Linked DNA regions of Coturnix japonica. The protein of the gene in region 1 interacts with the protein of each later gene in a pairwise test. Links are inferred from orthologs where the notes say so. Each region holds a gene or a part of one and is shown on either strand. Other genes may lie near its edges.

What was found.
Region 2: the proteins of POGZ (region 1) and ZXDC interact in binary tests that used the Homo sapiens proteins (3 or more experiments, as listed by UniProt). The link is inferred for Coturnix japonica from reciprocal best matches to the Homo sapiens genes POGZ and ZXDC.

The regions. Positions count from the first base shown.
Region 1 is NC_029540.1:2,373,390-2,377,398, reverse strand, and holds the end of POGZ (pogo transposable element with ZNF domain), read right to left. Parts: intron 3,952-4,009; coding exon 2,379-3,951; 3' UTR 1,195-2,378; downstream 1-1,194. UniProt on the Homo sapiens protein: Plays a role in mitotic cell cycle progression and is involved in kinetochore assembly and mitotic sister chromatid cohesion.
Region 2 is NC_029527.1:8,255,426-8,261,063, reverse strand, and holds the start of ZXDC (zinc finger protein ZXDC), read left to right. Parts: upstream 1-2,446; 5' UTR 2,447-2,470; coding exon 2,471-3,686; intron 3,687-4,429; coding exon 4,430-4,582; intron 4,583-4,856; coding exon 4,857-4,935; intron 4,936-5,053; coding exon 5,054-5,184; intron 5,185-5,638. Other genes in the region: UROC1 (urocanate hydratase), read left to right, coding at 719-859. UniProt on the Homo sapiens protein: Cooperates with CIITA to promote transcription of MHC class I and MHC class II genes.

The sequences.
Region 1 (4,009 bases):
GCTGTCAGTCTGACAAAAACCAAGGGCACAAAGTGTGGGTGGGTGATCGGTGCCATACACTCCAGTAGAGGTCCCACTGATTCGGTGCTAGAGCCAAATCCTCTCTTGGCCGGGAAGCGGCTCTGGGCAGCAGAGAGCTTCTCACTGATGGACCTCCTGAGATTTTGCTCCTTTTCTTCAGTACAAAACTCTGTGCAGGTTGTGGTGGTGCACACATGGACCACATCCCCACCATGCCACATCCTGACCCTATAAACGCTCTTCTTGCAGTGGCTTCGAGTGATCTCTGCAGAACTGCTTTGTTGTGTCCGTGCTTCTGGGCGATGCACATCCAAGAACTCCTTTTGAAGTTCCCATTTCTTTTGGAAATGAAATAAACCTGTTAAGACGATGTCCCATGTTTGTGCTTTGTCCAGAATTGAAGGTTCTGACTCCTCATAACACTGCAGGAAGGTGGTTGACAGCCCCGTCCTTTATTCCTGGCGAAGGGCAGCCAAAATGTCCTTTTGTTTGTTTGCTGAATGGTTTCTGGTAGACACTGTGCTCCACCAAAGACATTTACAGTCGTCCTCCCCTTGGCAGTGCCTTTATCGTACCATCTTGGGTCAAAGTGCTCCTTCAGCACCTCCAGTTAACACTGTGAGCTCATTTCTGCCAAAGGTGACAAAGCTTTTTCCCTTTCTGTGTCATCGTAAAGGTTTTTGCATTGCCAGGTGGCGCTGATGGCAGCTGAAGGACTCACCTGTGGGACCTGAGCTGGTTCTGGTCCTGGCTGATGCCTGTTCACTTCCCACGTTCTGAACCTTAAGTGAAATATACACAATTGCTTCACTATTTGCCCTAATGAAAGAATGGGAGCATGAGTTGCCATAGCAGTGGGGTGTTCCAGTACCCCACTTAGTGCAGCTCGTGCCATATTCCTCTTGAACTGGGAATTTCTCAGCCCTGCAATCATTTATGAGCATTAAGTGCGTTGTTTCTACCACTGAGTATAAGCAGCTCCAATGGCAGAATTCTGCCTCAAGCATGACCGCCACATACACACTTCAATTGCTGTCCCACCTCTGAGCAAGGCTGTGTCCCTAAGGGCAGAGAGATCCGCCCAGAGCTGAGCTCTGTGCTCTGCTCCTGTGTCTCCCACGAGGCACTATGATATCCCAACAGCCGGACAGCTCTGCATAATAAAAACGCGTGTTTATAAATCCATTTCCCTGGTTTTATTAAATGTTCCACGTATGTACATTTTAAAGATGAACCATTTACAGGTCTGCACATGCTGCCTCCTGCTTTCCTTAGGTCATAGGGCAGGTTCACAAAACCTCTATGGAAACAGAAAGGTGCAGGTGCTTCTGAATTCTGTATGTCAAAATGCTTCCGCTTATACCGTAATACATACAATTAAAAAACCCTCAAACATGCAAATTGTAGAAAAATTTAAGCTGGCAGTGAAAAATAAAAACAAACGTCTTCTTTTTGTGCATGTCACAGTTTTGTTTTGTTAAATCAGATTTCTAATTCTAAGGAACGTAGTGTCTGATGCCACTGCTTAAAGCACGGTTATCAACTACTCGTCGTTAATCAATGCTTAATGGTCCATACATTTAACTCCCAACTACAGGGGAAGATCAAGGCAGCCTCGACTTTCCCTCTTCCATCTGCACCCTCTCTCGGGGACTCTTTGGAGCGCGGCGGTGCTGGTGGGCTCCCATGGAGGACCCGACCCAACCGCATGGCAGCAGCGGGGGCTCCAAGAACCATCGCTGGCACTGAGCAGGCAAAACGCTTCCGCTTGTGTTTGGATCCCACGTCCCAGCTCACAAGCCGAACAATTACTCTTTAAAATAAAATAAGATTAAAAAAAGAGAAGAAAAAAACCAAACAAACCAAACCCAACTCGTAAGGGCCAATTGTAGAAGGTTCACACTTGAAAGCAATCATTCATACCTAAAGTCAGCACAGAAACCTAAAGCTCTGGGTCAAGTGTTGGGAAAAAAAAAAAGAACCAACCTGTGTTAAGACATCCAAAAGGTTTATATACTGGTTCGTTAGCTACATCTGTTCTCCTTTCTTTAGAAATGGTCACATTGACAATGTATAATTCAAAACATTTCTGCACAATAAAAACAGAAAACTATGATACAGTGAGGTAAAGAAAACGCAAAAATATTCACCCACAATATATTTTCAGAAAATACCAACACAGTGATTTTTCTTTAAAAAAGCACAAAACTTATAAATGAACAGCATAAATGGCTATTTATCTGAGTGATCGCCTACAAATTTCCTAAACCCACAAATCCACAGGGAAGTGTAATGGTCTCATCCAACATTTATTGAAAAAACAACCCTTTCCAGATCCCCAACTCGCAGATCAGTGCTCAGATTTCCATCAGATCCAAATCGGCATCTTCGAAGCCGTAAAACGATTCAGTCTCGCTCTCCCCCTCGAAGAGCTGATGGAGGATCTCGGGGTCGCCACACTCCTCATTCTGGGGCTGCTCCTCGCCTTCCACCGCCTCCTGCAGCTGCTGCTCCTCACCCAGCTTCAGCTGCTCCTCCAGCGTTGAGATCAGCTCCTCCTGCATGTCAGCGTTGCGTGTGGCTGAGTTGGCCGTGCCGTCCGGCCCCGGCAGCACACTGGCCACCAGGAAGGACTGCTGCACGAGTTCAGGAGAGTCACTAATGACTTCCAGCACCTCCGCCAGCCAACACAAAACCAACTGGAGAAGGATGTCCGAATCGCACGTGGAGTCCGCCATCTCCTTGGCTTGCTCTTTCCACTTTTTATGCAAGAAATTTTTCACAGTCCTTTTTATACAAACATCCAGGGGTTGGATTTTGGAGCTGCAGCCAGCGGGTACAACAGCCGGGAGAGTGCTGGAAGCACTCAGCAAGGACAGTACCTCCTCCGAGAGGTGTGTTCGGTGGCAATCTAGCACCAGCATGCCCTTGCTGTTCTGGCACTCGGTGTGCTTCTGCCACACTCGTGACGCCCACAGCTCCATGACCTCGTCATCGCTGTAGCCATTCTCCTTCGCTTCCAGTATGATGGATTCAGGCACGTTGGCGGGCTGCTGGACGTGACCTCTGTAGAAGACCAACGTGGGAAGAACGCTCCCGTCAGCAAGGATGGTGAGGACCACGTCGCACCAGGGCTCACCAGTCCCCACCGTCTGCAGAGCGTTCTCCTTCTTGTCGTCACTGCTCAGCACCTCCACGTCAAGGAAGAGGGAAATCTCGTCGATGGCTGCGATCATGGAGAGGGGCAGGTCCTGCGTGTGGATCTGCCTCTGCACAAACTCGATGAAGCAGCCAGCGTTGTCCTCCACCTCTTTGGGGAGCGAGTGGGCCACTGCCCTCCGCGTGTGCATGCTGAGGTTGTGCCGCAGCATGAACCGCACGGCCCATTCGTAGGAGATCTTGAAGCCGCCCTCCAGGGAGCGGCCAAGTTTGGTGGCCTTCTGGAAGAGCGTCTCCTCATTGACGGGCAGCTGCTGCTCCCTCTGGGTGAGCACCCACTCTGCCAGCTTCTCCTCGGCCTCCAAGCTCAGGTATTTGCCCTCCGACAGCGACGCCAAGTTCTCCTCTTGGAAAGCCTGGAACCTCCGGAGCCAACGCTTGATGCGCCGCTGTGGGTTCCTGAAGTGCTCGGCCGCCTGCTCAGTGCTGTAGCACAATGCAAACAGAACCACCCGCAGCTTCTTCACCGACAGCTGCTCCTTTTTGCTCGCAGGTTCGGTCTCCTTCATTGGCTGCTCGTCTTCCTGAGCATCGATATTTAAGCACTCTTCCTCCTGGCAAAGCAGGGGCTGGGTGTGGGCTGCCAGTGCCACTTCAGGCTCCAGGTCGTCCTTCGCGGGTAACACAGACTTAGTTTTCACAGTAGCAGCTTTACTGGGGGAATAGGCAGGGCACGTGTTCTTCATGCTTCTGTCCTGGGGCTGAATGTGCCTTGAAGGGAGAGAACACAGTGCCTTCTTAAAACCAAGGAAATAAAACCACAGGAGGG
Region 2 (5,638 bases), on another chromosome or scaffold:
CCAATCAATCTCTTGCTGCTCTGATTTATTGCAAGCAAAAGCCCCACTCCTTCACATACGTGTTTAGGAAGTACAGTCGGGGAACGTTACCCATGTTATATACGAGGCTGAAAAGAAACTATAGTGCACCCTTAAAATACACTGCCAGGAATAGTCACAGCTGAGTGGCAGGGAAATCGGCTTGGTGACTTGAAAGGTCATTTCTAGTTGTTATCGCTGTGATCCTGAGAACTTCTTATAAGCCTTACATTAACCAAATGCTTAAATATTTTGCTAAGTTGGAATCTGGGGATTTTTTTTTTTGCCCACTTTTGTGTCTGAATCTTACAGACCCTGATACGCAATTCATAGAACAGAGAATTCTAAGGCACTGAATACAAGGAAGTACTTGCTTCCTTCTAAGTACTCCTTCCTTTTGTTCCTGGTGTTTTCCTTCATCCAGCAAACTTCTTGCACACAGATCAAACTGCAGAAGGGCTTATAGTTCCCTGTCTGTGGAGCTTCACTCATATGCTGGCAGACTTGGGCTTCTTAATTTCGTATTTTGAAAATGCACAGAGTGAAATTTGCCCTTTTAAATAGAAACTGGCAGAGAGCTGAAGGATTTATTGTGGTGAAATTGAGTGTCAGTGTTGCACAGATATCACGCAAAATGGGATGGGGCAAGAAAAATGGGTGATTTTTTTGTTTTGCACTCATTGATTTTCTGGTCTGACAGGTTGCCAGGCGCTGCTGGTCGGGTAATGGCTACGCGTATGAAACGATCTGCCAAGCAATGAGAGACAACGCCGCACTGAAAGTGACTCTTCCTCAAAAAGTGGTGGATGAGAACATCTTGGAACAAGCCCTCAGAAGTTAGTGGGAAATGCAATGTTTCCTGGCAGAAATGTCTGATACAATGTGCAAACAATAAAAGCCTTGCAATTGTCTCTGGCACTACGTGCGTTTTTTCCTTCTAACTCATTAATAGGACAGATCTGTATCTGCTTGTGACAGGTCCACTGATGTCAGAACAGCCTTTTCACTGGTATGTGATGAGTGATGAGCTGCAGTCTTTGGACTGTGGGATCTCAAGAAACCAAATAATGTTAAGTAACAAAACACCACAGGGTCTTATAAAGCGTCTACTCACTGCACCTCCAGCATTGCCTCCAGAAAACAGCAAACCTGGTGTGCTGTGTTGTTTTTTGTTTTTAATTTCCTTTAGAAATCAGTTCTTTACTCTGTTCACACAGTGTGTATCTCCAGATGAACAGCAAGAGGCTGGCATCTGCTTGCAACCAAACCTGCGAAATGCATTTTGTAGCTCACCAGAACTGCTTTACGCTGTGGAAAAAAGCACACATTGACAAGTTACACCACTGAGAGCTGAGTAGTTGCCAGCCAGATTTGACAGCCTTTCTTTAACATATGTCAGGCGTTAGCTATTAATAATCACACTGGGTTGGTATCTTGGTAGCTGTATCTCATACAAGCACTCAAGTTACTGTAGCCCAAAAGAAATGGGGCACCTTTTGTCATAAAAAACATCCAGAAAATGGCTGTTTGTGCTATGGAAGCTCAGCTCCACCGTCATCTTAATCCCAAGTTGAAAGATCTACCACAGAAAACGTGGAAGAAATATTATTATGGATTCTTCACCTTTGTGTTATTTAGTACTGAGATAACAGTAACCGGTCACCCCCTGCTGGGATGAAGCAGCTTGTGATTTCCAGCACACAGAAGCCATAGGCCAGGGAAAAAACTCCCTGAGCTCTGCTGAGCCTCCTTGTTTTTCTGCTCTCTGTTTGCAGAGAAACCGTGTCTATGAATGAACAATTGTTCTGCATCAATCTGGGGGGACGCTGATGTCATTTCTAGGCAGATGACCTCAATGCTGGAAAAACTCAATACAAGCAGAGCAGCCTCCTTCAAACACATCTGCAGTCACTGTATGAGGCCAGACAGTAGATAACAGATGAGATTAATCTCTCAACCCCAACCCACCCCCACCATGCCCATAACCACGTCCATCAGTGCCACATCTCCATGGCCCTTGAACACCTCCAAGGATGGTAACTCCACTTCTCCCTGTGCAGCCTGAGTTTCTCTAACATCCAACCTGGTGCAACTTAAGGCCATTTTCCTCTTGCTTGCTGTATGAGATACGATGCAGAATAGCTCCAGGGACACAATCATCCCACTGGAAGGATCACAGCACCATCTGCTGGGACCGCTCGAAGGGTTCACAGCTGCCGGAGCCCACAAGCAATTTGGTTCTTCCTTCTGCTTAAGACTGGAGAGCCAGAACAGACCTGAAAACGAGAACGAAAAATAGAATGAAAGATAAAACAGCCAAGCCCTGGGCAACCTGATCTAGTAAAGGTGTATGTTTGGTGGCCCTGCCAGGCAGGGGGTTGGAACTACATGATCCTTGAGGTCCCTTCCAACCTGGGTCATTCTGTGATTGTTCCCGTCCGATCCCCGCTCCATGGATCCGCACTCCGTGTTTCCACGCCGCCTCCAGCTCCGTTCCGCTCCGTTCCATTCCGTTGTTCCGCGTTTCCTCTCCGACCGCTCCATGCCCCGCCCCCCGGCTCCGGTTTCAGCCGCTGCTACAGGGACCCCCAAGATGGAAACGCAGGGGCTGCCCGCCGCGGAGGCGGCCCGGGCCCGGCCCGGCGCCCAACATGGCGGCCCCGCCGCGCCGCCCGCCGCCCCGGGCCGCCCTCCGCCTCCGCCCGACTGGGACCGGGCGGCCTCCTCCGCCGCCTCCTCCTCCGCCGCCAGCAGCGCCTCGTCGGGCCTCTACGTGAGCTTCCCGGTGCTGCTGGTGGAGGAGAAGCCGGAGTCCGGCCCGGCTCCCAGCCCCAGCGCTCCTCCGGCGGGCCCCGCTCCCGACGGCGACGGGCTGCTGCTCGTCCTCAACGTGGTGCGCGGCAACGCCGAGCCCGACTCGGGCGACGGGGATGCGGGGCGGGCCCGGCCCGGCCCTTCGCCCGCGGAGCCGCCCGATGAAGGCCCCGGCTCCGCGCCGCCGCCGCCGCCTCCGCCTCCTCCTCCTCCCCCGCCGCCCCGCGATGGAGACGGAGACGGCGGCTCGGAGGACGGCTCCTTCTCGGGGACCATCACCATCAACAACCAGAGCCTGCTGGTGCGCATCGAGAACGGCGTGCTGACGCTGGGGCCCGGCGCCGAGCAGGCCGCGAACAACGCGCCGCCCCCGGCCCAGCCGCCTCCCCCCGCCGAGCCCCCGCCGGGCGTCCCGAGGCCTCGCTCCCCGCCGGCCTTTCCCTGCCCCGAGCCGCGATGCGGGGAGGCCTTTCCCCGCAAGCAGCAGCTCCGGCTGCACCGACTGACGGCGCACGGAGGCGGAGGAGGGGAGGACGGCCGCGGGGCGGGGGGGGCGGCTCGGCCGTTCGGCTGCCCGGTGCCGGGCTGCGCCTGGTCCTTCGCCACGGCCTACAAGCTGCGGCGGCACCTGCACTCGCACGATAAACTGCGGCCCTTCGCCTGCGCCGCTCCCGGCTGCTCTAAGCGTTTCACTACCGTGTACAACCTGCGGGCCCACAGCCGCGCCCACGAGCAGGAGGCGGCGCACAAATGCGAGGCGTGCGGGCAGCGTTTCCCCAGCGTCGCCCGACTCGCCGCCCACCGTCGCCGCAGCCACCTGGAACCAGAGCGGCCCTACCGCTGTGACTACCCCGGTAAGACGCAAATGGGGCCGGGCCCGCGGGGCTCCGTGCCTTCTCCGTCCCTTCTTCCCCCTACAGCCGCCCTCGGGTCAGTCCGAGGTCCCTGCTGTGCTCGCTTTGCTTCCTTGCTGCCTCTCCTCCCTCTCCCTTTGGAGCCTGCAGGAATGTCCCCTCTCCCTGACACCCTCGTTCACAAGGGGGGTGGTTTGGAGTTGAGGGGTGCAGCTGCGATGAGGTGGTGGAATGCCAGCAGTGGAAGCACCAACCTTGTGTTGTGTGCCTTATGCAGGCGTTGGTTGTCGAACAGGCTGCCCAGGGAGGTTGTGGATGCCCCGTCCTTGTTCAAGACCAGGTTGGACGGGACCCTGGGCAACCTGATGTAGTAAAGGTGTATGTTTGGTGGCCCTGCCAGGCAGGGGGTTGGAACTACATGATCCTTGAGGTCCCTTCCAACCCGGGTCATTCTGTGATTCTGTGATCTGTTGTCCTCTTTGGCCGAGTAATTGTAATCCCTGAGAATAACTTTCTTCTCAGATTGATAAGGCGCTGCCACCCAGGGAGTGGTGGAGTCACTGTCCATAGAGGTGTTTGGGAGCCATCAAGATGTGGTGCTGAGGAACATGTTTGTGGGTGCGGTGATCGTGGGTTGACAATTGTAATTGATCTTAGGGGTCTTTTCCAAGCATAATGGTTATATGAAAGCATCTTTTATGCGTACCAACCTGATGCACTGTTTGTTTTCTGTCTCTCCCCAGGCTGTGAAAGGACTTTTATCACAGTGAGCGCACTGTTCTCCCACAATCGGGCCCACTTCAGGGAGCAGGAGCAGTTTTCCTGCTCGTTCCCAGGCTGTAACAAGCAGTACGACAAAGCATGTCGGCTGAAAATCCACATGAGGAGCCACACAGGTACTCACAAAACTGAGACCACAGGTTTCAGATTAGTTGTACTAATAATGGTCTGTGTTCTGTGATGCATATGGAGATGTGCAGTAGCCTTGAGGTAAAGAAGATGCTGATTGTAGATGAGGGGAGAGGGCATCACTGCTTGTATGTGATTTACCTGAGGTGGTGGTTGAGTCTTGTAGTCTTAAAATAATTGAATTTAAACAGCATTGGGGATTTCTTAATCTAATACCGGTGTGTGATTTGGTATTGTTAACGTGACCTTTCTTTGCTTAAGGTGAGAGGCCTTTTATCTGTGACTTCGAAGGCTGCGGTTGGTCTTTCACTAGCATGTCCAAGCTGCTGCGACACAAGAGGTAGCGTTGTCAGACTGTGCTGTTTGTTTGAAGTCCCTGTTTGTTAGGTTTTGTTTTTCCTTCCAGCAGTCAAAGCAGTGGATGCAGTCTTGCTAATGGTGATTCCGTTTGTTTATAGGAAACATGAAGATGACAGGAGGTTCACGTGCCCGGTAGAAGGCTGTGGGAAGTCCTTCACAAGAGCAGAACACTTGAAAGGCCACAGCATAACCCACCTTGGTACAAAGCCATTTGAGTGCCCAGTAGAAGGTACTGCTCAGCTCTTGCATTAACTGGTAACTGCTGTGTGCTGTGTAAATAGAGGAAAGCTCAGTGCTCTTCACCAAACACAAGCTAGTTACAGGATCACAGGGAGTCTTCTAACAGGGTCTGAACAGATAAAACTGAAGGTCTATTGCTTCAGTTGGACTCCAGGAATGTAGAAGATTGGGTATGATCTGGAATATTCACCTTCACAAAATAAAACAGCTTGGTGGTTGTTTCTCCTTTTAATGGTTTTACCAGCCGTTATCACCAAGCATTTTCAAGTAAAATGCCACAGAGGGGAAGGAATAGATTGAATGACTTAGCATTTCTTCTTGTCAGAAGTGGCTTGCTGAGCTGTCCTATCCACTTGATGTAAAACGAGAGGTTGTATATTTGGCTTGCTTCTGAGTCCTCTGAATGTATGTTCAGATGCTACTGACCAACAGAGAGTTGTGAT